Linked DNA regions of Macaca mulatta. Each later gene encodes a partner of the first gene's protein in a complex. Links are inferred from orthologs where the notes say so. Each region holds a gene or a part of one and is shown on either strand. Other genes may lie near its edges.

Region 1 (15,528 bases):
TTGGCTCACTGCACCATCAACCTCAAGTGATCCTCCCACTTCAGCTGCCTGAGTAGCTGGGACCACAGGCGTGTGCCACCACCCCAGGCTAATTTGCGTTTATTGTAGAGATGAAGTTTCGCCATGTTGCCCAGGGTGGTCTCTATTTCCTGAGCTCAAGTGATCCACCCGCCTCAGCCTCCTAAACTGCTGGGATTACAGGCATGAGCCACCAGACCTGGTTGATTTTTGTACTTTTAGTAGAGATGAGGCTTCACCGTGTTGGCCAGGCTGGTCTCAAACTCCTGGCCTCAAGTGATTTGCCTGCCTCAGCCTCCTAAAGTGCTGAGATTACTAGTGTGAGCCATCAGGCCAGGCCTCTAGTTTTAATAAAATAATTAAAAAAAAATTTTTTAAAGAAAAGTTGGAAGCATGAGGAAGCTTTTGTATGAAACTCTTCCCACTCCTATGGCAAGATATACTTCAAAATGTTCTAAGAAATCATTTAGTAGGTTGTCTAGAAATACCCGTGTTGTGTATGAGCCATGGTTAATTCTCTCCCCAAGTATTTATTTTCCCACTATGTCATTACAATCTTCCACACAAAGGCAAAACTTGAAAACCACAGCAAAGCTTGTTGTAGAAAGGGTTCAGTTTGGTTCTTCATAGTTAATCCCAAACTTGGTGAGAAGAGAACTTTGAAACTATGGACAATAATTATAAATGCTGCTAAATCTTCATGGGGTACAGTGAATAGCTGAAGTAAATTATATTGCAAATAAAATCAGACTTCACAAAGCAGAGCACAATCAAAGGGAAGTTATGTTAAAGGAATCATTTAATTTTGAAGTAAAAAAGTAAAAAAAGAAAACAACCCATAAATCCTACCTATTTACTATAAGAAGGTAATAATTTGCAGATTTTAGATTTTGCCATTCAAACTTTCAGGAGATTCGTGAGGCTGCTAGGACTACTTCTCTTTTCTTAATCTAAATTTGCTGTTTTTTTTCAACTCAAAATTTAAAAATCTGTAATATCAAAATAACTGCAGTAGTCAGGCCAATAATAAAAATAAGAGTGGCATAGTAACAACAGTGAAAATACAGGCATTTGAGGAAATCAAAACCACAATGAGATACCATCTCACATCGGTTAGAATGGTGATCATTAAAACGTCAGGAAACAACAGGTGTTGGAGAGGATGTGGAGAAATAGGAACACTTTTACACTGTTGGTGGGACTGTAAACTAATTCAACCATTGTGGAAGACAGTGTGGTGATTCCTCAAGGATCTAGAACTAGAAATACCATTTGACCCAGCCATCCTATTACTGGGTATATACCCAAAGGATTATAAATCATGCTGCTATAAAGACACATGCACACGTATGTTCTTGCAGCACTATTCACAATAGCAAAGACTTGGAACCAACCCAAATGCCCATCAATGATAGACTGGATTAAGAAAATGTGGCACATATACACCATGGAATACTATGCAGCCATAAAGAAGGATGAGTTCATGACCTTTGTAGGGACATGGTTGAAGCTGGAAACTGCCATTCTGAGCAAACTATCACAAGGACAGAAAACCAAACACCGCATGTTCTCACTCATAGGTGGGAATTGAACATTGAGAACACTTGGACACAGGGCAGGGAACATCACACACCGGGGCCTGTCATGGGGTCGGGGGACGGAGGAGGGATAGCATTAGGAGATATTAGGGATAGCATTAGGAGGTATAATGTAAATGACGATTTAATGGGTGCAGCACACCAATATGGCACATGTATACATATGTAACAAACCTGCATGTTGTGTACATGTACCCTATAACTTAAAGTATAATAATAATGGTAATAAAAAGAAAGTACAGGCATTTGAGTCAGCCTTATCTAATTATCTACAATTGGCCAACATTTTCTTATTGAGTAATTATTTTCTAAAATTCCTTAAACAATATTGTGGTTTAAGAAATATGCAATGAGTTGATCACACACACGTACACATACACGTGCACATACACCTCCGTCATCTAAAATGTAGGAGAAATTTCTTAATGATTCTAATTATGAGAAAAGGAGTTTTGTCACAATGAGTAAACACTCCAAGATCATTTATTCAAATAAGAATCTATGCTAAACTATTGGTCTTTAAAGCTCTTTTCATTTGCATATAGTAAAACTGCACATGAATCCATCCATCCACCAAGAATATGCTCTCCCTCTCATCTTTATTTGAAGATGTTGGTCGCCTTCTTCCTTCCCAACCAGAGAGCACTTTGTTAGCTTTACTATTTATCTGATAATGGAAAAGAGTATTGAATACTTTTGATCTAATTCTGCTTTCAGTGCCTAAGAACTTTTTTTCCTGTTAAAAAGTGCTTTAGAAAATTTAAAACTAAGTTAATTTCACCTTCTCCCACATCTTTCCACCTTAAATAGCTCATATCTCCTCTCCACTAGTCTTATTTTAACATATTCTATTATCAATCTTTTTAAAGCAGAGATGATCTGAACAACCTGGCAGACAGATCTAGCTTACCACCTATTTGCCAAATTGATATTTTAAGAATATTGCTCAGTACAACTCCAGAGGCTGCCATTCACTTTTAGTCCACTTTCCCCTCGAATTATGCAATTTGGTGTCCCTGGAATTGCTGGTGGTTTTGAAATGACCACAAATTTTCTTTGAAATAACCAAGACTGGCTTTGTGTAGTTCCGTGAAAAAAAAAAAAAAAAAAGGTCTATTCAATCCATAGATACTGTACCAGATTGCATGTATGGCTCACTGACAGCTCCAGTTTCCCTCTGTTGCGTCCAGAACATGTAATGAAAAGTAGGAAATTTACACATCCTCTAGTTAATTTGTATTTAGAGACTTTCATTTTACTTTTAAAGCAAATGATTTTCATTTGACAGGAAAATAGTGCCACTCTGTGTGCTATGTGATGGTTTCAATTCTATGTCAGATATGAAATAGTAAATTTTATTGGCACTTAGTCAAACTTTCCTTTTCTTGGATGTTCTGATAATTTTCACACTACCTGTGTTTGCAACCCCCCGAGGATGTCTCAGTGTCCTAAAGATTAATGTGCTTCCCAAACTTCAATCAGCTCTCTAGTAACTGACTTAGACCATGTAGCGATGGGTAGGACGATGGACCCTGGCTGTGGGGAAGTCAGTATATTTGGTTGTTCCAGTGCATCCTGTGATTGCTATTGGGCAGCAGGTGGACTGATTTGATGGAGCTGTTAATAAAGAAACTATTAGTTTCCATACATGGAAATAATATAAGTGACTGCACTCATCTAACTAGACTGTCTTTTACCATGTCCCTTAGAAATTAAGGCCACCTTAGAATTGAGAAAGAAGAGGAGTACAGGAGGAAGGGAAGGGAAGCAGGAAGCGAAGTGGGAAGGGAAGCGGGAAGGGAAGGAGGGAAGGAAGGAGGGAAGGAAGGAGGGAAGGAAAGGCAGGCCTCCATCCTGAATTTAACTTAGCATCTCTGTACTACCTGCCAATCAGGTCTCATCAGAAATGTCCATATTAAGCACTTAGGGGAGAGTTTTGGGTAACACGGAAGTTACAAGTTATGCCTTTCCTGACTATGGAATCTTTATTCCTAAACTCCTAAATAAGTAGCTACAAATCTGAGTGTGTAAACAAAGACGAAGAATTTATTCTAACATAGATAATAACTCACAGAGACAAAATTAGGCTGAGAAGTTAAAGCACGTAGAGAAAGATAAATGTATAGAGGGGAAGAGCGGGAATTCTTGTTGCTAGAAAGAGGGAAGCATTGAGCATCCCAGGAAAGCAACAGATGATGCTTTAAAGGCAGATCAAAGTCATCACATGAGTGACATGAACATTTATGCAATGACATGAGGTACAAGAACTCAGTGAGAATGCAATTCTCTTTGGAATTTCTATTCTCCCTTTATCTCCCCACCCCTTTCTCTCTCTCTCCCCTTTTCTCTCATTCCTACAGAACTTCCTTAGTAATTCATTTGCTCTCTGAGACTGATAGTCATAGTTATCGACTCAGGCAGTGTTTGTTGAAGAACAAACTGAATTACTGATGTGGTCGATTTGGTGAAGAAAAACATCAATATCATGATCAGACTGAATTGATTGGTCTGCTCAGATATTCCAATTTAAACAATGCTCTTGACTTATCTAACAAGCAGCTTTATTTCATTTTATTTTATTACTATTTTTTGAGACGGAGTCTTGCTCTGTCGCCCAGGCTGGAGTGCAGTGGCGTGACCTTGGCTCACTGCAAACTTTGCCTCCTGGATTCAAGCCATTCTCTGCCTCAGCCTCCCAAGTAGCTGAGATTAAAGGCGCTTACCACCACGTCTGGCTATTTTTGGTATTTTTAGTAGAGATGGGGTTTCACCATCCTGTCCATGCTGGTCTTGAACTCCTGACCTCATGATCCACCCACCTCAGCCTCCCAAAGTGCTGGGATTACAGGCATGAGCCACTGTGCCAGCCTACTTTTTATTTTTATAAAAATTGTTTTATTAATGGAATAGTAAAAATAAATCCTATATGTATCACCTGAATTTTACCCTGAATTTTCTCCAGTATTAGGGGTAACCTTCCACACTACTGAAAAGAGGGGTTAAAAAATAGGTTCAGAGATGTGTGTTAAAATTTCCCCACTGAATTAGACCATCAAGTATAATAAGCCATCATTATTTAAAGGGATCTTGTGGACTGGTTAATGAAATAATTTGGTTGAGTGTCATCACATGGGCATATTTAAGTCAAGATTTTTTTTTAAGTGAAATACAAAATGTTTACATGATTAATCTGAGACGACTTTCTTCTTGTTGCTGAGGATGGCAAATGGAAACATCTAGTTGTCTGAAACTAACACAATGAAGGTCCATGATTACTTTGCCAACAATTGTTTTATTGGGGGGAAGGCTGCATAAACATGGGGATGCTATTCTTTTTAGTTAAAATGTAAGTGCTAACTCCTATACTATTCTTCACCATAATTAATTCTGCAGCCAATTTTTTTTCAAAGGTACATTATTGATGTCATGATAGCTGTATCTTGAATGAAGGGCTGTTGAGGCTCTAAATGCAAATCCATTTACCTACATTTACCACGATCCCTCCAAAAGCATCTGACTTTTCATGCTACTTAAAAGCTTCTCTAAACTTTGTACTACACTCAAATTAATCCAAGCCAGAATGGTATTACCCCTACCTGACTGCATAGAAAGAGACTTCAACATGTATGAAAACACAGATGAGCACACACACCAAAGTGGGTTGAGTGCTGTGAGCAAGGTGGCTGGATTAGACAAAGTGTGGCCACCCCAATTGGGTCATCTTTGTTCTATTCTACTGTCAAATAATGGTGGGAGACATTTTCTTTCATTCAATCAAACAGTCAAAATCACCACACTGCTTAGATAGCATCTGATCATTCTGAGAGCACAGACTAGGAAGAGCAAAAGGAATGAACTGGCACAAGTTTGACAGGCTCACTTCCAGCAGAACTTTCATATATATATATATGAAATATATATATATATATATATATATCACCCAAGGTAATCCATTCCTTCCTTCATAGTAGATACCTATTGTTGAGCACTCAAAGGGTGTCAGTGCACACAGACAATCTTAAAATGGCCACAAGACGGCAAAGTGCAGTCATGCAGTCTAATGAACAGACATTGTTCAGAGTAAATTTCAAACTCTTAGCCTCTAAATTGGAACCCTATCCTATTAGTCCTTCAGGAGCTAATGGAGCCTTCAACTTTTCCAAAAACAGAATGTGACAAAAGCACTGTGACAAAGATTTTACTCCCAGGTTAGAAAGTCTCTGTTGATAAATGGTATTTAGTTCACTGTGGTGACAAACTCATTTAATGGATAAATGATCCCAAGCTTTACACTGATAAGTGTTTTTGTTGTTTTTATTGGCATAAAAGTTGGAATTTACCTTATGTGTATGATACTCGTGTCTTGAATACTTTCCTTACACTTTGTGATCGAAAATCATCACCAGCCATCACTTTGATGGCTGGAACATCTTCATATTTAAGTCAGTGCGGTCTTTGTGGTGGCCACAGAAGAAACTAGCTGCAAAATGTTGTAAGTTGCAAGGCACTTTCTTGAACCATCTGGCATAAGGCAGTAAACTGTATGGCCTGGTTTTTCCTCCATAATAAAGCAAGAATAGAGAGCTGAGTTAAAAATAAGCTGCTGAAAGAAAGAAAATTTTCCATCACAGCTCTTCCCCCGTACCTGACTCCCACCTTTTAATACAGCTATTAATCATTCCCTCACTGAGCTCTCCTCCAGTGACATCTGCTGTTTTGCTCTCCTTTGCCATCATGTTCAACTCGGAAGATAGCCTGGAAATTCATGATGGCCAGGCAAGCAGAACTTCAGCTGCTAAGCACTGACCATACTCTCCCTCTCCTAGCTCTTCACATTTCCTAACTGGGACCATGCAGAAATGGTGGTGGCTCCCAGGACAAAGTGCCTGAGGGCAGTGCCTCTTGTTCTCATATTCTTAGAAAGAATCCAGAATGAATAAGTAAACTCAAGAGCCCAGAGGAGGTGCTGCCTCTCTTTCTACCACACTAACATCTTTCTCTCCCTGAAATTCTTACCTTCCTAGATGAATGCATCTGGGGGAGAAAGAGGGAGAAAGTTTCTGTGATGAGAGAGGCATTATATATTGGGTGAATAGAGTGAAAGTGGAGGGGATGAGAGGCAGTCGTTTCAAGTCTACTTTGAAATAATCCTTCCTTAATATATTTACAGCCTAGAAAAGCATGTGTTGGCTACAACTCAATAAACTAATTAATCACATAAGTGTCCACTTAAAGAGTCAAGAGTTACACCGGCCTCAGAGAACATTGGCTTCATCCAGTTAAGCAGTACAAAGGGAAACATACCCCACCTAAGATGTTGAAGACGTTCTCATCGAGTCTCCAGTGTTTTCAAACTGATCCAATAGAAAAGATACTTTTTTTTTAAATCCAATTTTGCTTTGATGGAATCTATACTTAGCGTTTGTGTGTGTGTGTGTGAGAGAGACTGTCACCCAGGATGAAGTACAGTGGGACAATCACAGCCCACTGCAGCCTCCTGGAACCCCCTGGCTCAAGTGATCTCTCCTCAGCCTGCTGACTAGCTGGGACCACAGGCACAGGCCACCATGCCCGGCTAATTTTTGTATTTTTTTTTTTAAATAGAAACGGTGTTCCCCTATGTTGCCCAGGCTGGTCTCGAACTTCTGGGCTCAAGCTATGTTCCGGCCTCGGCCTCCCAAAGTGCTGGGACTACATGGGTGAGCCACTGCTCCCTGCCAACTTTTTTTTTTTTTTAACCTAACAAAAATGTTTCACAAATTAATGCCAAAATAAAACAAACGTTCAGTGGCAATCCAAGCCATAGACAGACTCCATCATAACTTGAACCGCCGTGGACGTGCCGCCTGAGAGCACATCCAAGCGACACCGCCCTAATTGCAATTCCAGCAAGGAAGAAAAGAGGAAATGTTGGCCCGTGTTATGAATGGCTTCAGCTGCTCTCTATATTGCTGTTGCATGTTAACTGAATCGAGTTTTGAATTAAGCAGACTGCCTCCATTGCGGACAGGTCGAGACATTCTCATCTGGACCCGAACGCCTGGACCCTAGCGAGCGGGCGGTTCCCTGGCTGCAATGACCAAGGTTGTGCCCGCAGCGCCCGGCAACCCCAAGTGCTCGCAGCCGCGCGGCGGGGCCGGGCGCCCGGAGCTGGCCTCAGCCCCCAGGACAGGAAGGGTGGCCAAGTGCAAACCTGGCAACCCCCGAGTCGGCGGCCACAGATTGCTGATGGCTGCGCCACGTTTTCGGGAGGGTCAGCCCCTCACTGGGTTCTCAGGGCACTAAGTAAAGACGGCATGTGAGCCTGGAAGCTGGAGAGAGTCCCGGGCGCGCTATAGCGGGCAGGACGCCGCGTCCCCAGGACTCCGCGTCCCCAGGACTCCGCGCCACGCGTTCCTTCTACACCCTCAAACCCACTGCCACTCCCACAGCGGAGCGAGGGCGAGCGTGCCCCGTGCGGCTGAGATTCCCGGAACGCCTCCCGCGCCTCGGCTTCCCCAGAAGGGGCCCCTGTCGGCCCGCGCGTCCCCAGGCGGGGGCTGAGCCGCAGTCCCAGCCAAGCCGAGGTCACCTTGGCCCGTGCGCCTTTCATTCCGGGGCCCCTCCAGCAGGGAGGTGACTACAGGTCACCGCCAGCCGGGCCCTTACTCCCCGCCTCCGCTGTCCCGCCCCCCACATCCCCGAACCTCTCCGGCGGAGCCCGCGCGCCTGGGAACGCGGTCCCAGCCAGAGTGGAAGGGACAGCGCGGGAACCCGGGAGAGAGAAAAAGCGGGAACCGGGCGCCGCCGCTTCACCATCGGGAGGAGATTCCCTCCCGGCCCCTCTTGGATCCCACTGCAGGGACCCTTTCGGGCTAGTGCCCAGGCTGGGAGAGTCCCCGGGCGCATCACAGCCCCTTCCAACTTACTTTTTCATATCCTCAGTTCGGATGGCAAGTGGCCACCCGCCGGGTTTGCAGTTGGAGGGGAGTCTGCGTGCAAAACTTACGGTCGGCGGCGGCCACCCCTCCGCGGGAGGCGGTCAGACTCTGGAGCCACACGGCCAGGGCCAGCAGGAGCAGGGCTTTGCTCTCCATCTCGGGGCGCGTCCCTCTGGAGGAGCTGCAAGGCGCGGACGGACTGATGAGCCGGCTGAGCCGGGGGCGGGAGAGGGCTGGAGCCGCGGTCCGGCGCTGAGCAAGTCGCCCTTTAAAGGGGAGGGCAGGGCAGCTAGAAGTGGACAGCTTTCCCTTGAGGAGGAGGAAGAGAGGGAATCGAGTCTGACACTGTTTTCACGCCACGGCTGCTTATGTGACTGGAAATATGCAAATAAACCTCATCACCTATTGGCTATAAAATCATAAGTTGGGGGGAGGGCCCTAAATTCACTTCTGAACGTTTGAGCAAACCAGTAACGAGGATCAACCCTGCCAACGAGAAGAGGAGGAAAGGGCAGACGGAAAAATTTGCTTTGTTAGGCTCCTGTTCGCTTAGCCTAAGGGTTTCCACTCTCCCCGGGGCCCCCTGTCTAAGCACCAAACACAGGTTTATATCGATTCACGTTAAATACTCAACAATCACCTGTTTTCCAAGGAGGGACAGTTTAGCTGTTAAATTACATTTGGCCGGCACTTTAATACACCTCTCTTTTGATGAATCCTGTTTGTCACTTGCAGTCCTCCCTCCCTCACCCCGCACCCACCCCCACCCCCGCAAAGTCAATGTAGGGATACAGGGACACACATTGCGTCCCAGCTTGTGCTCGTACAATCTGGTGTTTTAACATTGGCAAGATGGATCAGCTTATGTGATGGAGAAAAGCCTACTTGCTCTAACTAGTTTCTAATTTTTGCCTCATGCAAATTATTCTCAATCCTCAAACTCATCAAGGAATGCAAGGATAATATTTTGTGTTCAGAGGCAGAACATCGAGGTCAAATAATCTAAAGCCGTATTGAGTTATAAGTGAAAGAAGATAGTCACAAATGACACATATTGTATGATTCCATTTAAAGTGTCCACAAAGAGACAAATCTATAGAGACCAAAAGTAGATCAGTGGTTGCCTGGGGCTGGGTAATCAATAGGGGAGGGGAAGAATAGAGAGATTTTGGGGGAGTTGATGACAATGTTCTAGATTACGTTATGGTGCTGATGCACAGCTCTGTAAATATACTAAAAGCAATAGAATTGTGCACTTTAAATGGGAGAATTATATAGTGTGTAAATTATAGGTCAATACAGCTATTTTTAAATGGGTAAGAGGCATGCACATAAAATAAGAAAAAAAAAATTGGATACTGTGCTTTTCTGCCAAAATGCTTGGAATACTTTTAAATATCTTTTTAAATATAAGGGATTTATATTAGCCAGGAAAGACAATGAAGTGTATCCCCAACCCCCTCTCAGTTTATGGCTGAGAAACTGACTCATCAAATCAGAACCTCCAATCTACTACATTTATAGTCTGAATATTTTTAATGTCCACTTTTACTCATCCCACCCTCCATCACACACACGCACAAACACAATGTACAATTGTAGGTTAGAACAATGAAAAGCTTTTTTAAAAACTGGGCTCGCTCTTTAAGTTTTTCTCGAAAAATGAAATAAAAGTTGATAATACCCAAATATTTCAAAAGTCTGTATTCTGCACAACAGAGTTCTATCTTTAAGTTGACGCATTCCATGCCACAACACAACACGCTGTCTTGTATTGCAATTATTACACAATGTACTGTGCACATTCACTCTATCCTACAAAGTATGTAGAGAATCTTGAAACCTGCCAAAAATTAAACTTCGCAAAACTTTAGAAGTGGCAGAACAGACCATGCAAGGGATGAATAACTATGATGTGGCCGTCCTCCAAAAATCATGTAGTAAACTCTAATTTTAAAAAATGACAGAAGATGAGTACAATTGCATTGGATGTGTTCATGGTGTGAATGGCATATAAACAGACGTGCAGAAATGCCTGCTATCTTATATAGAATACTCCTGCAGCCTATTTTCATGCATAAATGTCTTTTGATAAGACAACCAAACTAAACTGCACTTCTGTGCCTTTCAGAAAACTGCAAGGAGATTTTATGTAATTGCTAAGGTAAAGTCTTATACTTATAACGTATTTTTAAAATGATTTCCCGGGCTAACCAGATAACAAAATTAAAGCCCTCAAGAGTTGGAGGATATATAATATTTAAATATGAATTCAGTTTGAAGTGAACTATGCCATTAGCACGTCCAGTAGAGTTGAAGAGATTTCCAGGAAGACTTAATTTATAGCAGCTTAGCCTGGTTAAAAAAAAAAAAAAAAGAAAAGCAAGCCAGGTTGGCTCCTGTCCCAGGGCAAGCGCCGAGCAGGTGGGTGTGGCGGCAACACTCTCTCCTGATTGGCTGCGCTGGGAGCGATCAGGTGCCTGCCTTCTAACGCAGAAACTCACATGATCTCCAGGTCAGGATTGCATGTGCGTTAGTGAGGCGACTCATCCAAACTTCCGCGAGGTTACTCGGCCTTCAGTAGCTAAAGGCTTGACTTTTTCCATAATTGGCATTTCCTTTATAACAAACTAAGTTTTAGGTGAGAAGAAGCTAACGGTATCCCTGTAGCAGGACACTTGCCCCTGGGACACATTTAAAATGACCTAAGTAAAAAGTCTAATGTGCATACTTAATGAAACAACTTGAAGTTCTGGATGTAGGGAAGCATTATTTCGCCAGCCAGCCAGCTAGCTAGCTAGCTAGCTTATTTTGATTGAAGGCCTGCTAATTGCACTGGGCACTTTTCATCTTCTCCTGCGTTTAATCATTACAAAAGTACTCCAAACTCAGTAATATTACCCTTCTACAGATGAGGGAAGATGAAACTCAGAGAAGATTAAATAACAGCAACCACAAATCATAAGATGTTTTTTCTTTGGCGATCCCAGGAGAGAAGGAAAAAATGTATTTCATGTGCTATATTTTAACGTTGCAGCAGTTGCAAACAGGAGTAGCCTGGGAATCAGAGTTTTTTGTACACACATATTTTAATGTAGATTTTTATTTTGTGGCTTTCTTACTAAAGTAAAATACAATGAAATGTGTAAGCAGGCTCTAAAGATCATCAGTACTGAGTTGGATCTTATCCTTATAAAAATTATAATTAATGTAAGAAAACATACTGATACAAATAAAATGTATAAACGCAAAGTCATAAATATTAAAAAATATTCTAAAATCTGTTGACTTTTTAAATAAGAAAAAACAAAGATGTTTACTAAAAATTGTCATAAAAGGCTTTGCCACCACTACCTACTCACATGTGTCCCTTAAATTGTAGCACAAACTGGCTCTGAACAGAAATGATAATGTGTTGCTGAAGGGAAGGATGAAGTTGAGGCTGGCAGCTCTTGGATCTGGAGATGTGGTAAGGATAGGGGAAAAAATAATATAATCAGCATTAAAAGATTTGTCTGAATAAAATTAAGAAGATACATTTCAAAATAATTTTTAAAAAGAGAGAATTCTTTTAAAAGCCAGTGCATTGCAGTAATGCATCCAGGAAGGGACTTCTCTTCGCCAACATGGTGAAACCCCGTCTCTACTACAAATACAAAAATTAGCCAGGCGTGGTGGCAGGTGCCTGTAATCCCAGCTACTCAGGAGTCTGAGGCCCCAGAATTGCTTCAACCCGGGAGGTGGAGGTTGCAGTGAGCTGAGGTCGCACCACTGGACTCCAGCCTGTACTACAGAGTGAGACCCTGCCTCAAAAAAAATAAAAAATAAAAGAAAAAGAACAGAGCACACTATCCAGATGATGTCCCAGAGGAACTGGGGAACCAAGGGGGAGCAGGATGCAAATCTTTCCTAGAAGACAGCTCACACACACTAAAGAATGTCCCACAAATAACCCACTGGATTTCTAATTCATGTTCATTTATAAGTAGTTTCCCCCTTTTACAAAACAAAACCAAACAAAATTAAAAATTTAAGCCCGTGTAGATGAAAGAAAACTTTGAGACCCAGTTAATGATTGGAATACGGAACATCATGAATGTTTTTTGCTGATGGTTTCACATTCAGAGATAACTTCAGACCCATGTCAAAGGCCTGCTCTGAAAATGAGCTTAGCCCCATTTAGCAGAAGATGAGTTTGAGATGCCCCCTGCTGACTTCCTGGTGATATTGTAATGTCCCAAAAAAGCCCTTGTAACAGGCTTGAAAAAGAATTGACTTAATGAATGAATATATTCTAAACTCTTTTATTTGAGCTTTCTTTTTTTCCTTTTTCTTTCTTTTTCTTTTTTTGAGACAGAGTCTCGCTCTGTCACCCAGGCTGAAGTGCAGTAGCACAACCAGGGTTCACTGCAGCCTGAAACTCCCAGGCTCCAGCAGTTCTCCCAACTCAGCCTCCCGAGTAGCTGGGACCACAGGTGTGCACCATCATGCCCGGCTAATTTTTGTATTTTTAGTGGAGATGGGGGTCTTGCCGTGCCCAGGCTGGTCTCGAACTCTTGGGCTCAAGTGATCTACCTGCCTCAGCCTCCCAAAGCGCTGGTATTACTAGCGTGAGGCACTGGGCCAGATCTGAGCTTTCTTGTTTCTTTTGTTCAACCATAAGTAGCCTGAAGGGAGGTATTGCTCTTTCCATGTCTGGTGTATTTCCCGCAACAGGTACTGGTGCTGGGAAGTTAGGAGGTTCTTAGCCAATAGTTGTTGGGTGAATTAACAACATTGAGTAAAAGATGATCCAGTGTCAAATGGGGGAGAAAGCAGGGTTCCTTTTATTTTAAACTTTCACTAGATTTATTAATTATGAAACTACAATTACAAAACCACAAACACACATATACATACACAGACACATAATTAAGTTTACATAGCCCAAATCTGGGTTAGAAAAATAGAGGACAACTTCATTTGATTGGAAATTTTGCTGGCATATCATTCTCTTCTTATTTATTTATTTATTTGAGACAAAGTCTTGCTCTGTCACCCATGCTGGAGTGCAGTGGTGCAACCATGGCTCACTGCAGCCTCTACCTCCTGAGCCAAGACAGTCCTCCGAGGCTCAGGCAATCCTCCTACCCCAGTCTCCTGAGTAGCTGGGACTACCAGCGTGTACCACCACACCTGGCTCATTAAATTTTTTTTTTATTTTTGTATAGATGGAGGTCTCCCTATGTTGCCTAGGCAGTCTCAAACTCCTGGGTTCAAGTGATCCTGCTGCCTCATCTTCCCAAAGTGCTGGGATTACAGGTGTGAGCCACCTCATTCAGCCTCTTCTTCCAATTAACTCTTTAGTTGAAAAAGTAATCTGTTGTTAACCAAAAACAAAAACACTAAAATCGAAATTTCAAGCAGTGCAAAATTATGTACAACGAAACAAAAATCTTTCTCTGATCTAAGACTTCCAGTCCCCTAGTCATTCTCCACATGCTGCTAGTTTCCTTTCTTATAAAGTTTACCCTTCCAGAAAAGTCTATGAACACACAAGCATAAATGTGTTTGTAAATGTGTGCATGTGTATGTATTTATCACACATACACAACTTATTTTTTACAGTAAACAGTAATGTCAGCATACCATGAGCAGTCTTCTGCAATTTATATATATATACACACACACATATATATACACACACATATAGATATATATATAGTTGTTGTTGTTGTTGTTGTTTTTAAGACGGAGTCTCGTACTGTCGCCCAGGCTGAACTGCAGTGGCATGATCTCGGCTCACTGCAAGCTCCGCCTCCCAAGTAGCTGGGACTACAGGCCCCCGCCACCACGCCCGGCTAGTTTTTTGTATTCTTAGGGATAGAGACGGGGTTTCACCCTGTTAGCCAGGATTGTCTCTATCTCCTTACCTCATGATCCACCCGCCTCGGCCCCCCAAAGTGCTGGGATAACAGGCATCAGCCACTGCACCTGGCCTGCAATTTATATTTTTCACCTAACAACATGTCTTAGAGATTAGCTCACTGAGGAAGAGTTCTTTTTTTCTTTCTTCTTTGGGCCACATAAGATTTTCTTATTTGGTTTTATCTTCATTTATTTAATCAGACACCTATTAATAGTTACTTAGATATTTTTGTAATATAAACCATGCTACAATAAATATAAATTCTTTAAAATTATTGAGTCAAAAAGCCTAAGTGTTTATTATTCTAATAAGTAAAGTCACCTGTTTGCCAATGAAACTGCACAAATTTACATTCTACCTACAGTGTAGAATGAGAGATTGTAGACATTCTGGCTATGACTGTGTGGTGCTGAACTATTTAACAATCTTGCAGGTGTAATGTGGTCTCTTCTTTAGTTTATATTTTATATCATCATCATCATCATCATCATCATAACTAACCTTCATATAGCACTTACTATGTGCCAGGCATTGTTCTAAAAGCTTCACATATATGAACTACTTTAATATAAGTCAGGTCTGTTGAGATATAGTTTAAATATACAATTCATCTACTTAGTATAGAATTAAATGGTTTTTAGTTTATTCACAGGAATATGCAACTGTCACAAATTTTAGGCCATTTAATCACCTCCAAAGAAGCTCTGCACCCATTAGCAGTTAATCCCCCATCCCCTGCATCCAACTGTAGACTAGTTTCTGTCTCTATAGATTACCTATTCTAGACATTTCACATATACATTCATATAGTATGTGGTTCTTATAACCAGCTTTCAGTTAGCGTATTATTTTTAAGGTTCATCCATGTTGAAGCATGTATCAGTACTTCATTCCTTTATATTGCCAAATAATATTCCACTGTATATCCCACATTTTATTTATCCATTTATCAGTTGACAGATGTTTGGGTTGTTTCTGCTTTGGGGTATTTGATTAATGCTGCTATGAGCAGTTGTGTACAAGGTTTTATGTGGACAATATGTTCGCAGTTCTCTGGAGTATACAGGAGTAGATTTGCTAAGTC
Region 2 (15,661 bases), about 130 Mb from region 1:
CAGAGGGTTTGCAGAAAAGGCTGGGGGGTGAGGAGGTGCCAGGCGCGTGACCCACTCCCACGGCTCGTCTCGAATTATTGTTCCATCTGGTGCAGGGGCCAGCACCAGCGTGGCTTCTCCCAGGTTATAAACGAATTGTTGTCAATCTTGTCATCAGTCTCTAGCCAGGAGTGGGTTCCTGCCTCGAAGTAACCTTTTGCTGGAGAGAGAATTCCAGAGGTGTCTGGTCTGTAACAGGATCTGACCCTTGAAGGTTTTAAGGAAATAGATGACCAGATTGGTGAGCAGGGTGTATGCCTAACAACCTTCCAGGTAAAAAAGTGGGCATAAGGCCTAGAGCAGAGAACGGGGAAAGAGAGCGGAGGTCTCAGCATGTTCTGAGGCTGTAAAGTTTATCTCGGAGCTATGGCTTGAAAGTGGGGAGAAAGGAGAAAAGGGGAAAGAAAAAGAAGTTTTAAAACGCGGTTTGAGGTGAAGCTGCTAAGTGACTTGGTTACAAGAACCTTGGCTTCCACACCCTCCTGCACCCTCTTAGCTTGACTTTAGCTGATTTCAACTCTTCAGGCAGAGCTTGACCCCTCCAGCCAATGGCCAATCAGGGAAGCTTTTCACCTGTGGCCTGAAAGCCGCTGCTTCCAAATGTCCTGTCTTTCTGGGCCAAACCAGGGTATACATTACATGTACTGATTTCTGGCCTTGCCTGTAACTTCCGTCTCCTTAAAATGTATAAAATCAGGCTGTACCCCAACCACCTTGAGCACATGCTCTCAGGATATCCTAAAGCTGTGTCACGGGTCACAATCCTTAACCTTAGCAAAATAAACCTCTAAATTGATTGAGACCCATCTCAGACACTTTGTGGCTTACAAGAGGCAGCTCCAGCTCAGGGTAGGGGATTTCCGGTCACAGTCTAGTTACTGGCACAAATATGGGGCAGGTTCCAGGGAAAGCCGACTCCGTGGATCCTGAAGGAGTGAGGATGCTGGCGCCTGCCCTGAGGGGCACCCCCAGAGCCTCAAGGAAAAGGAAGGGCCTGACCACTGGGGCTCCTGGGTCCCCGGGTTTCCAGGTTCTAGGCTGGTTTGCCAGTTACCTTAGTTACCACAAAGGGGTCCCAGTCTAGATCCTAAGGGAGGGTTCTTGGATCTTGTGCAAGAAAGAATTCAGGTCGAATCCACAGAAAGCAAGTTTATTAAGAAAGTAAAGGAATAAAACGATGGCTACTCTGTAGACAGAGAGGGCACTCCTGAAAGCAAGAGGAGGAAGGTGCCCACCTCAGGTATAGTGAGAGTTTATATATGAGACGAGAAACCCAAAAAACCATGGGGGAGATTGCTCCGCTGCCAGGGCTCCTGACAAAAGATTGTTTATCTTTGTGTAACTCCTGTCTAGCAAGAATCTATATTATTATCTTCAAAGTGAAACTCATTCTTTTTTTTTTTTTTTTTTTTTTTTTTTTTGAGACGGAGTCTAGCTCTGTCGCCCAGGCTGGAGTGCAATGGCCGGATCTCAGCTCACTGCAAGCTCCGCCTCCCGGGTTCACGCCATTCTCCTGCCTCAGCCTCCCGAGTAGCTGGGAGTACAGGCGCCCGCCACCTCGCCCGGCTAATTTTTTTTTTTTTTTTTTTGAGGCGGAGTCTTGCTCTGTCGCCCAGGCTGGCGTGCAGTGGCGCGATCTCGGCTCACTGCAACCTCTGCCTCCTGGGTTCACGCCATTCTCCTGCCTCAGCCTCCCGAGTAGCTGGGACCACAGGCGCCCACAACCGCGCCCGGCTAATTTTTTGTATTTTTAGTAGAGACGGGGTTTCACCGTGGTCTCGATCTCCTGACCTTGTGATCCGCCCGTCTTGGCCTCCCAAAGTGCTGGGATTACAGGCGTGAGCCACCACGCCCGGCTTTTTTTTTGTATTTTAGTAGAGACGGGGTTTCACCGTGTTAGCCAGGATGGTCTCGATCTCCTGAACTCGTGATCCGCCCGTCTCGGCCTCCCAAAGTGCTGGGATTACAGGCGTGAGCCACCGCGCCCGGCTTTTTTTTTGTATTTTAGTAGAGACGGGGTTTCACCGTGTTAGCCAGGATGGTCTCGATCTCCTGAACTCGTGATCCGCCCGTCTCGGCCTCCCAAAGTGCTGGGATTACAGGCTTGAGCCACCGCGCCCGGCCTGAAACTCATTCTTAAACTAAGAATTCTTCTGTTCCGAAGATACTGGACATCAGGACGTTATTTCCTGGGTCTTGTTGGTAAACATTATTCATTTGCTCCCTTAACTGTAATATCTGGTGACCGAACACCTAAGGTCCCAAAACCCAGCTGGTCTCAGCCTCATTTCACCCAGCCCCTACTCAAGACGGAGTCGCTCTGGTTGGAAGGGCTGTGACGCCTTCATGTGGCCAGGAACACCAGAGACTTGCTGAACAGATGGTGACGCGCACGCAGAGCACGGCGGAGAGCTGCAGGGCCTTCTCCCGAAGGACCTGGAAGGCGTGGCTGCCACTGGGAGCTGCCAAAGTGCTCAGGCAATGGCCGCTGGGGAACCCCCATGGATGCTGCACAGAGAACACGACGGAGGCCCCATGGGGACCCAGGCCAGGGGCAGGGGACAGAGGCTGAAGGGGGGCACAGAGGCCCAGGGTTGTGGGGAAGAGGTCCAGGGTGGGGGTCGGGGCTGGGGACGGGGGAAACAGAGGCCCAGGAGAGGGGCTTGGAGCAGAGGGCAGAGCCCAGGGTTGGGGAGAGGCGGGAGCAGGGGACAGAGGCTGGGTGCAGAGGTCGGCAGCTCCTTGGGTCGCCCTAGGCTCAGGAGGACTGGCTCTTGGTGGCTCTTGGTGGCTCGAGGCCAGGGCAGGGCTGGTGGAGGGGGTGGGGCGCTAGCTGTGGCCTGCGGTGTGTGGTCTGATTGCAGAGACCCCCGGGCCCTTTTGCCAGAAGCAGACCCTGGTTGATGGTGCAATTCTAGGGCCACCACGGGTGAACATGAAGGGCAGTGCTCCCGGACTCCCTGCGGGTTAAGCAGGGTCTCCCTGACAGGCACAACCAGGCCCCGCTCACTCATCCCTGGCTGGTTCGGGGTGCCCGCAGCCACCCGCCTCCACGGTTCTCTTTATGGGAGCAAACAAGCTGCAATGACATGGTTTTCGGTTCCTGTTCTCGCTGCCGAAAGCACCGGGACCGGATCCAGACCTCGGGCTGACCGGCTGGGGTGCAGAGAGGCTTCCCCTACCACGCGGAGTGCTGGTGGCCCCTGCAGGCCCTGGAGCTCCAGGAAGGGCTGAGGGCCCGGGAGGGAGGACACCACCTCGCCTTTGGTAGGATGATATCCAGCCGAGGTTTCGCCCCCTTGGCCTTCATCTTGTTTCTCAGACGCTGGGTTTCTTCACGTGGAGGTGGAGTTTGTGTTTCCTGGAGCAGTGGTCTGGAGCCAAGGCCCCGGGAGTTAGAAGCTGTGAGAGCTTTCCGGGAGAGGTGTGGCGGGGTGTCAGGGCTCCCTTTCCCTGGGTTCCTGGGCTCCCTAGCCTGAGGCAGGGGGCAGGAGCCTGAGGCGCTGCAGGGTCAAGGCAGGGCAGTGGCTGCAACTCAGGGCTGCAGGGGAGGCTGGCCGGGCCTTCAGAGCCCAGAGGGGAGAGAAGGGGAAGGGGGAGCTGGCTTTTGCCCAGGGTGTGGTGTGACTTGCAGTGCATTTCAGAGCCTGCTGGGGACACCACTGAACCACCGGATCCTGGGCTCAGAGGATCGCCAGGAGCAGAGGCAGGGCTGAGGGAGGGTTGGCCTCCGAGGCGAGCTTCTCCAGCCGCCTCCTCACCTGCTCCTCCCCTGCATAGACGCCACTATTAAGTCCAATGAATTAAGAGACAAAAAGCTGAGCGTGTTAGGAATGAACTCCACTCCTAGATGCCCGTTTCCAAGGCAACGCTGGCTCCATCCCTCAAAGAGTGGGTGCTGGAGCAGTGCCTGCAAGCCCCAGTCCCTAAGGAGGAGGAAAGGGATGGATCTGGTGGGTTCTGGGGAGGATCCCCAGGGTGCTAGGCAGAGTCCTGCTCTCACGGTCTCTCTTGCACTCCCTCAGCTCTGCCGCACCCGGGTCTCCCCTACCCACGTATCTGAGTCCACCTGTCCCCGAATGGCTGGCAGAGGTTGGGGGCCCGGTCCCGGGGTGTCAGACGCCCCTTGTATCCTTGTGTGTCCTTATGTGGGAGTGGCCAGAGCTCCCGGGAGAGGGAGGCGTGGTTAGGGTTTGTCCCATGCGTTGAGTCAGGCACTGCACCCTGGTCTTGGTCAGTTTTGATGGCGAGGAGACCTGGGTGTGGGCAGACCCAAGGGGTGTGGGAGAGGCAGAGTGGGAACAAGCCTCTGCCTGGCTTCTCGTGATGAGCACGGGCAAAGGGTCCTGAATTCTTCTGGGGCAGGAAGAGACCGCTGTGGTACCGACTTCTGGACTGTGGCTAAGGAAGGAGACCACTACTACTCCTGCTGCCCTCCTCCCCTCACCTTGCCTAGTTCACAAGACAGGAGGAAAGAGAGAAAGCAAAAAGAAAGAAACAAAAGTAAAATAAATAGCCAGACAACCTTGGCACCACCACCCGGCCCTAGGAGTTGAAAAAAGTAATAATAATAACATCAACCCCTGACCAAAACTACTTGTGTTATCTATAAATGCCAGACACTGTATGAAAAAAGCATTGTAAAACTTTTTGTTCTGTTAGCTGATGCATGTAGCCCCCAGTCACGTTTCCCACGCTTGCTTGATTTATCACGACTCTTTTACGTGGACCCCTTAAAGTTGTAAGCCTTTAAAAAGGCCAAGAATTTCTTTTTCAGGGAGCTCAGCTCTTAAGACGCGAGTCTGCCGATGCTCCCGGCCGAATAAAAAACCTCTTCCTTCTTTAATCCAGTGTCTGAGTAGTTTTGTCTGCGGCTCGTCCTGCTACATGGTCACCAGGGTCCTGGCAAGGCCCCCTTCCTGGGACTGTGGCCCCGTCGAGCCAGGGAGCCTGGCTTTCTCCTCCCCAGGACCGTGGCTTCCAGAGCACAGCCAGGCTCGGGGCAGATGTCCAGGGAGGGGCTGATGTGGGCTCAGGAAAGGTCCCTGACACACCCACGTTCAGATCCTCAAGCCTGTGAATATGTCTTCTATGGCAAAAGGGACTTTGCAGCCATGAGGAAGCAGAGGATCTGAGATGGGAGATGGCTCAGGATTCTCCAGGCGAGTCCTAACTGTGGTCACAGGATCCCTGTAGGAAGGAGGCCGAGGAAGAGCTGACTTGAGAAGGGAGCAGTGTTTGGAGAGGCTTCAAAGGTGGAGAAAGGGCCATGAGCCAAGGAGAGCAGGCGGCCTCTTGAAGCTACGAGGGTGAGGGGTGGGTTCTCTCCAGAGCAAACACAGCCCAGCCAGAGCCCTGACTTGAACTTCTGACCTCTAGAGCTGCAGCATGAACTTGTGTTAAGTCACTAGGTTTGTGGTGATTTGTTACGGCAGCCTTGGGAAACTGGTACAGAGGGACGTAGGTTCTGGCCCTGCCCCCTCCCTGCCCAGCGCCCCCAGCCCCCAGTCTCCCTGCTGCCCGGGCTGGATGAGAAAGGGAGGTCCCTCTATGTTCACTCTTGGGACTGACAGCATGCGTTGGGCTCTGAGATGGGGCCCAGGATGTCTTGGCTGTGGCCATCCGCCCGTTGGCACTGCTGACCCACCTGGCTCAGACTCGACTTGGCCTGGGAATCTGGCTGGCTCTTGGCTGGCATCCAGCTCCTCCCCAGCTCAGGCGTCCTGGAGCCTGGGACACCCCTGGGAAGCTGGGTGAGGTTGGCAGGAAGCCCAGGGACTGCACCTTGGATCTGCATCGCCGAGCTGTGTGACCTTGAGCTCGAGCCTCATGTTGTTCCTACCTCAGCGGGCTGTGACAGGGCCCACCCTAGACAGCTAAGCACAGTACCCTCTGCTCCTGCTCAGAGCCGGAGTGGGCGCCAGGAGAAAGCCCTCTGTGGGCTGCTGGGGGTGGTGTGGGGGTGGTGTTGGGGGTGGTGTTGGCAGTGGTGTTGGGGGTGGTGTAGGTGGTGGTGTTGGGGTGGTGTTTGGGTGGTATTGAATGTGGTGGTGGTGGAGGTGGTGTTGCAGGTGGTGCTAGGAGTGGTGTTAGGTCTTTGGATTATGAGGGTCTGGGGCTGGCTCAGGTGGGGCATGTACTATGTTCACACACACAGATGGCAAGTGAAGAGTGGGGTCATGAGAAGTGTTCTGATGACCACAACTCCCATTTACTGAGCACTTGCTCTCTGCCAGGCACGGGGCTGTAAGCCCTGACACATGGCATTCCAGCACTCTGGAGAATCCTCACTGTAGCCCACAAGGAGGGCTCTCCTAGGACTCCTGCTGAACAGAGCCAAGTGGGAGGTGAAGGGGTTGCCAGGGTCGTGGAGCTGGGGAGGGCTGGGCCTTAGATTCGAAGCAGGCAGCCTGACCCCTGCACTGTGCTCCAGTGGGCTGTAGGCATGAGTGTTCGTGTGCACACGTGTGCATGTGTGAGTGTGAAAACGCAAGTAACAGACAGCCCAAATAACTAGCTTCAACACAGCAGACATTTATTTCCCTCCCAGGTAAGGGCACCCCGAGGTAGGCAGTGCCTTCTGTCAGTAGCAAGCCAGGCCCCTCTCATCACGCTGCCCTGCCGTGCTCAGTGCTGCCTCATGGTGCAAAGTGGTTGCTGAGCTCCAGTCACCACTTCAGCCAGCAGGAAGGAGGAAGGGGAAGGAGAAAGACGTGACCTCACCATCTAGGGCATTTACCTTCCGACCCCCAGCTAGGCATTGTGGGTTTTCTTACTAAGGAAAAGGAGAGAACAGTTAGCGGAGGCCTCCCACTGCCCGCCGGGATGAGCTCGGCAGGCAGGACAGGACTCTGGCCTTCCCGGTTCATGGAGTCCTGGTTCATGGAGTGTTGAACTGGTGGGGATTAGGGGTTCTTTAAGTCTCACTGTACTTCTCAGAAGGGGAAACTGATACCCAAGTCAGTGGCTGAGCTGTGGCCCAGGCTGGGCCTCTGCCTGCTGTCCCAGAGCTCTGTCCTGGCACCAGCTGCTGGTGAAGCCAGGACTTGGAGCAGTCACCAGCCCTGCCAGAGGACCCTGGGGACCCCCCCCCCATAATGAGCCGCCCACCTTCCCGGCTCTGCTACCCAGTCCTGCTGCTTCTGCAGGAAGCTGAAGGCCCATTTTGCCCCCTCCCTAGCACAGGGTAGCCTGTCTGACACCCCCAGACTCCTCCATGACACCCACCAGGCTGAGGGCCTGGGGGCTGGAGTCTAGAGGGCAGGCAAGGATGAGGCTGGAAAAATTTCATCTCATCTACTTCTCTCCTTTCATCAACTCCACTCCTCCACTGCTCTAGCCTGCTCCAGCCTCTGCTAGAGCAGAGACAGGTATTCCCAGCCTCAGGTGCTGTCCTAAGCCCAGTAGGTACTGACCCTTAATGGTCACTTCAAGGTGACAGGCACCCACCCAGCATCCGGCCCTTCCCCATCCAAGGCTGCAAGGTAACTTTCCAAGCCAGGGTCTCCCATGGCGGTGCTCATGCCATAGCCAGACAGGCTCCGCTGGCCCCATCCTCTCCATACTTGGTGCCTGTCCCCCCAGCCCCGCACTGCCCCTCCGCGTGTGGCCTCACCCCGACCCGCCTCCCTGTGCCCTCTCATCCTCAGCCCGCCTCCCCTACTATCCTGCCTCCCCCAGGCCCGTCTTTCCTAGGGGTGACTATAGCCTCCCTCCAAGGCCTCTTCCCTCCAGACAGCCGGGAGGCTGACCTGGGGAAAGGCAGGGCGGGCCGGTGTGACCGCTGCAGATGGAGGAATTCCTGTGGCAGAAGTTAAGGGTGAGGATTGGGTGTGGGGGCCCCCAGGCATGTGGTGGGTATCATCTCTGCCTAGCTGTGCTGGTGGGGATCCCCAACCCCCATGAGGGTTGCAGGCCCTGGGGCATGGTGGCCAAGGTCTGGACCCAGCGCCCACGTGCTGCAGTCCTGCCACTCACAGGCGGTGGGGAGAGGAAACCAAGGGCAAAGCCGGGAACTGAGGAAGCAACCGGGCCGGCGGGGCTGTGCTGGCTGGATTGCCCAAGACACTCCAAATTCATTCTCCAAAGCTGGTGCAGGGGCAGGAGGGGAAGGTACCAGACAGAGTGCTGGCAGGGCGAGGGGTGAGTTGGGTCGGGGTGGGGAGGGGCTGTGGGTCAGGGTCTCCCGGCCCCCATTGCTCCAAGGCCAGCGAGGAGGTTGAGCAGGAGGGCTGTGCCTGCAGTTTCGCAGCTGCCCCGGGGGCCGCCTGCCCCCTTGCCTGGTGGGTCCTGGACTCGGGAGCTCTGCCAGGGTGGGACATTGCACAGGTTGAACTGGCAGCAGGTTGTGGTCACCTGGGTCCCCTCGACCGTCTTGGTGATGGGCTGGCAGTTGTCTGTACACCATGCAGAGTGGGTGGTCAGGAGGCCTGACTCTGGGGAGGGGAGTGGGGAACAGATGCTGAGGATGGGCGGGGCCTCCGAGGTGGCTCTACAGGGCTCTGTTCAGGGCCCCTGGCTTTCCCGCCACCTGGGGGTGCGTGTGCTGCGTGTGCTGCGGCCCCACGCCAACTTACCGGTGTTCCCGTGGGCAATGAGGGTTGTGCAGGCCTGGCCATGTGAGCAGCTCCGCGTCAGGTTGCAGTGCTCGTCCCTGGACAGGGACTGGCAGGTATAGCACCACAGCAGCACTGTGGACAAGGTGGGCTCAGGCCCAGGCCGGGTCCATGTCCCTATCCACCTCCCCATTCTCAGTTGTGCTCCCAAAGCCTAGCCTGGTGAGCCTCCAGCACCCACTGCTCAGACGGGCGGGCCACCCCTGACTCGGCCCTGTAAGCCGTGCTGTGTGCGTGAGCCTGTGTGTTTAGGGGCAAGGGATTGCGGCCCAGGCAGGGCGAACTTCCCATCGTCGCTCACCTCCTGTGACAGTGCTGCCCAGGCTCCTGCTGTGGGCATGGAAACCTGGAGGCGAGTCTGACTCAGTCCTGCCTCTGGGAGCACCGGGCCTCACAGGGGACACCTTGTGGGTGTGTGGGGCAGGGCTTGTGCTGAGGGCAGGCCTGGGGGCCCTGGGAGTAGGGGTGGGCTGTGTGTGGTGGGCACGCTGGACGCCCTGGCTAGGGAGTGGTCGGCTTGAAGGTTGGATGCGGCGATTAGCTCTGCTTTGTTCTGGGGATGGGAGAGAGCAGAGGGTGGCCCAGCGTGTAGGGGTGTGTTGGACGGGGGGGGGGTGGTGGGCTCTTATTAGCCCCACTCTGCTCTGCTCTAAGCGCTTCCCTGGTTCCCCTGCCTGCAGCAGCCAATCCATCTCTCCCCTGCACAGGACCGGCCCACCCTGCTGCTCTCTCTGCCCCACAAAACTGAACCCTACCCTGTGGCCTCTGTGCTTGCTGTCTCCACCCTGGGCCCCTACTGAGCCCTTCTCTGCCAGGTGAACTCCTGTTTAACCTCTACATCCTGGCACCACTGACCCTCCCAGCTGGTGGCTTCTTCCCCTGTTCCCTACTCTGGAACTGGGTGTCATGGTGAGTGGAAGAAGTGAGGGGTGCACTGAGTGTCCCCCACTCTGCTGGAGGCAAGCTCACAGCGGGACTGTGGCCTGTTGGCTTCCATCGCACAGCCCCGCCCAGAGTGCTCCAGGCAGAGCAGGCAACGGGGCCCTGGGGTTGGGGCAGCCATACCTCTGCCCCTGCCACCAGGGAGCCTGTTGGTCTCCTCCTCTTCCACCTCGTCCTCATCTTCCTCGTCGTCGTCATCTAGCCTGTGGTCCTCATCCTCGTCCTCTTCCTCCTGCTGTGCTTGCCCTCTTCCTGGCCGTGCAGGGATGCTTGTAAGCCTCAGCTACCCAGTATGGAGGACACCTGCTCTGGGCAAGCATCACACCCCCAACTCCTTGGCCCTCCCCTGCCACCCTCAGGCCCCAGGGCAGCCTACCTGGTGTGGCCTCCTGCCCCTGCACACCCTGCTCACTGTCCTGCAGCCGAGTATGCCCTGGCACACTAGTTACAACAGCAGCTGCTGTGGGCTGGCCCTTTATGGTAGCCCCTCCCCGCACCCCACATAAACAGGAGCACAGATGTTTGGGGACTCTTGGGATCCCAGACCAGCTTCCATCCACACTGCTCTGGGCTGGGGACTCCGGCCTCATCCCCTCCTTCTTCCTAAGCCCCTCCTGGGGTTCCCTGGAGGTCCCCGTGCTCCAGGACTGCACTCACTGGCCCCTCACCGCAGGGTTACCCTTTGCCCCGCACCTGGCTGTCCGCACAGCAAAAGGGCAAGCAGGAGAGCCCTGAGCACCTTCATTTCGCCGACGCTGCTACGTCCCCGACTCCTCGCGCAGCACTCTGGAGCTGCAATAAGTGGGATGAAGGGCATTGCCGTGGGCTTCCCAGTGGCCCCCACCAGCTCCAGCCTCAAACAATGGGCCTCACATGGGTCCCAGCTCCAGGCGCCAGGCCAGGGACTGTTGTTTCCCTCCAGGACCTCTGGGGCTGGAGGGGAAGGAGAAGTCATTGTGGTTGGCCTTGGAGCGTCCCGTGCACCTGTGCCAGCGGTTGGAAGGCGGTGCTGGCCACAGGAGCTGCTGGCCCTGGCCTGCCTTGCTGCTCAGTGCCTCAGCCCTGTAGTGCAGGGCAGGGAGCCTTGCCCCGGATTGGGCCATGCCTGACACCCCCTAACCCCATGTCTGGGCTCCATAGTCACAGGAGCTTGGGGTCACAGACCCTCTATTTGCTGATCACTGGCCAAGCATCTTCATTCCAGAGTCAGCATCACACCCAGGCCCCTTTAAGAGCATTTAAATAAAAACACAGTCAGTGCCCTCAAGCTAAGGCTGTGTGCTCACCTCCTCCTCACCCACACTCAGCAGTGCACTTGCCGGGCCCAAGGCCTCCCCACTATCACCTCGGGTCTTTGCCCCTGCTGTTCCGTCTGCAGTGCTGTTCCTGCTGGTGTCCAGTGGAGAGCTTTCCGGAGCTGTTGGGGGCCCAACCCTTGGCCTTCTGCTGGGAAAGCCATCAGCCCCCACCTGCCTTCTGGCCTTGTGTGAGAGAGAGGCTGCTCTGGGAGAGGCTTGGAAAGCCCAGGTCCCTCCCTGAGGCCACCCTCTCCTCCCAAGCCCCTGCCCAAGCCCCTGGGGGTGGGATGCAGAGGGCAGAGTCTCCTGAGGGTAGCAGAGGGGTGGGGCAGCGGCAGGGGCTGGATGGGAGTCTGGAGCCAGGGTCAAGCCTGGGCGTCTGTGTGCCTTGGCGCTTGGGTCAGGCCCTTCACCTACTGAGGCCTCAGTTTCCCCGACTGTCAATGGGTGGGGTGGGGCTTTCTGGTCGGCCACCTGTAACAGAGGTTGAGTTGGTTCTGGAGTGAGCTGCCTGGGTTTAAGACCCGGTTCCTCCTTCCCCTGGCTCTGGGTCCTGGACGAGCCCCTGGGGTTCCCCAGGCCTCAGCTCCCTCATAGGGTGAGGTGACCATCAAGGGTCAGTACCTGCTGGGCTTAGGACAGCGCCTGAGGCTGGGAATATCTGTCTCTGATGTCTCAGCCACTGAGTCAACCATCCCTCCTTAATTCACCTGAACCTGTCATTCTTCCATTCTTCTCTATCAGCACCCACCCAGCATCCAGCCCTTCCCTGTCCAAGGCTGCAAAGTCACTTTCCAAGCCAGGGTCTCCCATAGCGGTGCTCATGCCACAGCTGGACATGCCCCGCCAGCCCCAAACTCTTCATACGTGGTGCTTGTCCCCCCAGCCCTGCCCCTCCCTGCCCCTCCCGGTGTGGCCCCACCCCCACCCGCCTCCCTGCGCCCTCGCCCTGCCTCCCCCACGCCCTGCCTCCCCCACGCCCTGCCTTCCCATCGCCCTGCCTCTCCCACACCTCACCTCCCATCGCCCCGCTTCCCTGGTGCCCCACCTCCTCCACACCCTGTTTACCCCACGCCCCACCTCCCACACTGCCCCACCTGCCCCACTGCCCCACCTCCCTGTCGCCCCACCTCCTCCACACCCCACCTCCCCATCGCCCCGCCTCCCATTCGCCCCCCTCCCCAGCGTCCCACCTCCCTGTCGACCCACCTCTCCTGTGCCCCACCTCCTCCTTGCACTGCCTCCCATCACCCCTTCACCCCTCCTCCCCCAAGCCCCGCCTACCCATTGACCCGCTTCCCTGGTGCCCTGCATCCCTGGTGCCCTGCTTCCCTGGTGCCCAGCTTCCCTGGTGCCCAGCTTCCCTGGCGCCCTACCTCCCCCACACCCCGCCCTGGCTGCCACTACAGGCTCTTGAATCTAGTGCTGCAGGAGCTGCTCCTAGGAAGGGCACTACTGGGTTTCTCTGGGGGGTCTCCACCTGCCACCTCCCCTCCGCAGGGGCCCAGGCCCTTGCACATTGCCTACCTCTAGGCCCAGCGCCTCTTCAGCCCTGGTGCAAACTGCCCAACCCAGGCCAGTGCTTATTGCGAGAATCACCTGGGGACAATCAGCGCGCATTTGATTCGCAGATTGAGTTAAATTTAGTGCTGGCAGCTGAGAGGCTGTTCCCTCTGTCCCACCCCGGAAAGGCTAGTGGGTCTGGTCCAGCCCCTACAGAAGGTGCCCCCCCCCGGGATGGTGCGCAGGTGTGAAGGGGGACCCGCAGTGGCAGACACCTGGTTCCCCAGCACTGCCCACAGTCGCAGGTGGGCGTGGCGGGCTCTGTATGTGAAGCCAACCCCCTCATCCCACCCAGGCACTGCACAGCCTCCCTCAAGCCCCCAGGGCAGCATCATGACCTCTCAGACGCTCCAGGTGAAAATATGACCCCTAAGACCTTCAGGGCACTGCTGTGGTCCCCCAGTGCCAGGGCTAAGGGCTGCTGGTCCTGATGGCAGCTGCCATGGGTCATTTTAGAGCCTGCACCTGTGCCCCTGGGCTCGACCACCTTTCCAGGCCCTGAGCCATGCCCACACCCCAAGGTACCCTTGAAGGGCAGCCCGGTCACCCCAGCTCCCTGCCCATAGACCTCTGTGCCTTGGGGCCTGGACCTGCCTGCTCTGCTGGCTCATGGGGCTGGCCCTTCTGACACAGCGGCTCTCTGGGCCTCCTCCCAGGGTGGGGCCTGCATGAGTCACATGGCTCTTTTTGGCAGCAGCAGCCTTGGGCTCAGAGCTTGGTGCTGGTTGTGGACAGGGGATGCCCAGCCATCCACACTCCCTCCTGCCTGGGTGACATGTGGGGCTCGGCGGGCAGGGTCTGTGCTGGCATCATGCCCAGGTGGGGCCATGGGCTCTGCTGTCCTGGGGGGGCTGTGTGGCCCTGTCCTGGGCCTGCACTCCTACTCTGTACCCCCTCCCCCGTGTTGACACCAGCTGGAGTCAGATCCAGACCCGTGCACTGCCGTCTCCAGGAGGCAGCCTTCCGTGAGATTGGGTTTGGAATGAGGGAGGCGTTGGGAGGAGGGCACCTTGGGGCTGGGCCTGAGGGGTGAGCAGAGTTTTTCTATAAGGAAGGGTGGGCAAATGTTTCTGACTGAGGGGCACGTGTACGGTGTCCATGCCGGGAGAGTAGGGCCTTTTGGGGCAGATGAGGGCTGCAGATGTGCTGGCCCTTGCCACACTTTCCCTGCTCTGAGTTCCTTCCCACCCTCTCTGCAGCCAGCCTACTCCTGTCTCACTGAACCTGAGTCTGGCAGAGGGAGGGACTTGTTTTGAGAGCAGAGTCCAGACTCTCCTCCCCTGGGGTTACTCTCTGCTTATTTTTATTTATTTATTTCTTTTGTTGAGACAGAATCTTACTCTGTCACCCAGGCTGGAGTGCAATGGCGCGATCTTGGCTCACTGTAACTTCCACGTCCCGGGTTCCAGTGATTCTCCTGCTTCAGCCTCCCAAGTAGCTGGGATTACAGGCTCGCATCATCATGCCCAGCTAATGTTTGTATTTTCAGTAGAGACAGGAGTTCACCATGTTGGCCAGGCTGGTCTCAAACTCCTGACCTCAGGTGCTCCACCCACCTCAGCCTCCCAAAGTGCAGGGATTACAGGCATGAGTCACTGTGCCCGACACTCTCTGATTCTGATGACCCCTCAGTGCCAGGCGGAGCAGGCTGCCCATTATGTGCACTGAGGTACAAGCCCTTTTTCTTTCCCGGAATCCAGCATTCAGAGGTAGCTGTGGGTGGGTGGGCCGGCCAGGGGGAGCAGCTCCCATGGGTCCTGCAGCTCCCAGGCACCCCTAGAACCCAAGAGGCAAACACACCCTGGTCCAGAAGCTTGTTCATTAACTTGTTCACATGTGGTTCACTCAGGTACCCTCCCTGGCCTCCCAGCTCCCCTCCACGCTGCTCTGCACCTGCAACCCTCTGTGCTCAATTTCCTAGTCGTTAGACACCCTCAGCCCCACCACCATAACCCTGGAGAGTCTCCCTTCCCTTGCTCTTCCAAGGGGGTCCCTCTTGTCCCCCACTTGTGAGGGCGACTGATCTCTGTCTAGCTCCTCTTGGCAAAGCTTCAGGTGGTCCTTCAAGCTCCTCCTCCTGCCCATCTTCAATTTCCAGAGGCAGGGCCCAGGCACCATCCTCTCCAGAGACCTTTCCCCACAACGGCACTCCTGTACCCACCTCTAGCTCGGTGCCCTCAGAGGGATTCAAGGCTTGGCTTTAACATCCCCCCATGGCCGTACTGGGTCCCCGTCTTGGAAAAATGCAAGAGCAAGGAATACATTGTTCCTATCATTTATTTTATCCATTTAGAAATCAATTTCCTTCACACTGAGATTGTTAAAAATGTTAAAAACAATGTAGCAATTTCACAATATTAAAAGAGACTAAAAATAACGATGCAGGGATACTTTGCAGCTGTATGACAGTGAAGAAGCTCTTTACATCCTGATCAGAAAACAGGAAGCGGAGGAAGCGGAGGACTGAGTGTCCCGGCACACTGCTTTCTGCAGGAACAGGAGAAGGCAGGATCTGTGCCCGCTGCTGTGTGTTCATGTGGGGACTGCCCACTGGGCTCGCCTTCTGTCAAGGTCCACGTTTGGCCACTGATGTGCAGGGCCCTGTCTTCTGCTCAAACTGACCCCCGCCGGCCCTACCACCCAGCAGAGGCCTGCGAATGAGAGGCCTGGGGCCCCGCAGTCCCTGGAAGGCAGGAAGCTGATGGCTGAGCTCAGGGTGGGATCTGTGTGTGGGCGGGTGAGCGGCAGGCACTCACCCACAGCGGCAGGGAGAGGGCGTGTGGAGGGAGAGCAGCTACCAGGGAAGCCAGACAGGTGCAGCCCAGGGCAGGCAGGAGCCCCTCCCAGGCTATAGCGTGGACCCCCAGCCTTGGGGGGGGGCACAGGGCCTCCTGGCAGCCTCTGCACGTCAGGACCACACCACTGGGATGTCCCGCTCGGACTCCTGGCAGGCAGAACTGACAGTGTCTTCCACAGTGGCCCCACCGGAGGGGCAGGGGAGAGGAGAGGAGGTTAGGTGGGGGAAGTAGGGAGAAGGGGAGGGAGGAGGCCACGGGAGGTGGTCTTGGGTGGGGCCTCCCTCTGCCCGCAGGCGGTGATGGGCAGCTGACCACCTCCACAAAGTGTTGAGGTGGCTCTGGTTACTATGGGGACGCGGGGCCTCCCTGGCCACCGCGATGGCTTCTCATGGTCGATCCTTTGGAT

Evidence for each region.
Region 2: the proteins of LPL (region 1) and GPIHBP1 are in contact, whole or in part, in a crystal structure (PDB 6OAU), measured with the Homo sapiens proteins. The link is inferred for Macaca mulatta from reciprocal best matches to the Homo sapiens genes LPL and GPIHBP1. Residues at the interface, in NP_000228.1 of Homo sapiens: Tyr367, Gly368, Thr369, Ala371, Glu372, Glu374, Leu403, Met404, Lys406, Lys430, Lys440, Ile443, Cys445, Ser446, Arg447, Glu448, Val463, Lys464, Cys465, His466, Asp467, Ser469; in NP_835466.2 of Homo sapiens: Cys68, Lys69, Ser70, Leu92, Ala94, His95, Gly96, Asn97, Thr98, Glu99, Ser100, Leu103, Thr104, Thr105, Ser107, Trp109, Cys110, Thr111, Asp112, Ile117, Lys119, Val121, Glu122, Thr124, Val126, Met128.

Annotation. Positions count from the first base shown.
Region 1 is NC_133413.1:21,568,800-21,584,327, reverse strand, and holds the start of LPL (lipoprotein lipase), read right to left. Parts: upstream 8,913-15,528; 5' UTR 8,693-8,912; coding exon 8,605-8,692; intron 1-8,604. UniProt on the Homo sapiens protein: Key enzyme in triglyceride metabolism.
Region 2 is NC_133413.1:153,568,972-153,584,632, reverse strand, and holds GPIHBP1 (glycosylphosphatidylinositol-anchored high density lipoprotein-binding protein 1 precursor), read right to left. Parts: upstream 10,342-15,661; coding exon 10,290-10,341; intron 9,849-10,289; coding exon 9,720-9,848; intron 9,208-9,719; coding exon of another isoform or gene 8,903-9,207; exon of another isoform or gene 8,766-8,902; intron 8,730-8,765; coding exon 8,616-8,729; intron 8,475-8,615; coding exon 8,215-8,474; 3' UTR 8,048-8,214; downstream 1-8,047.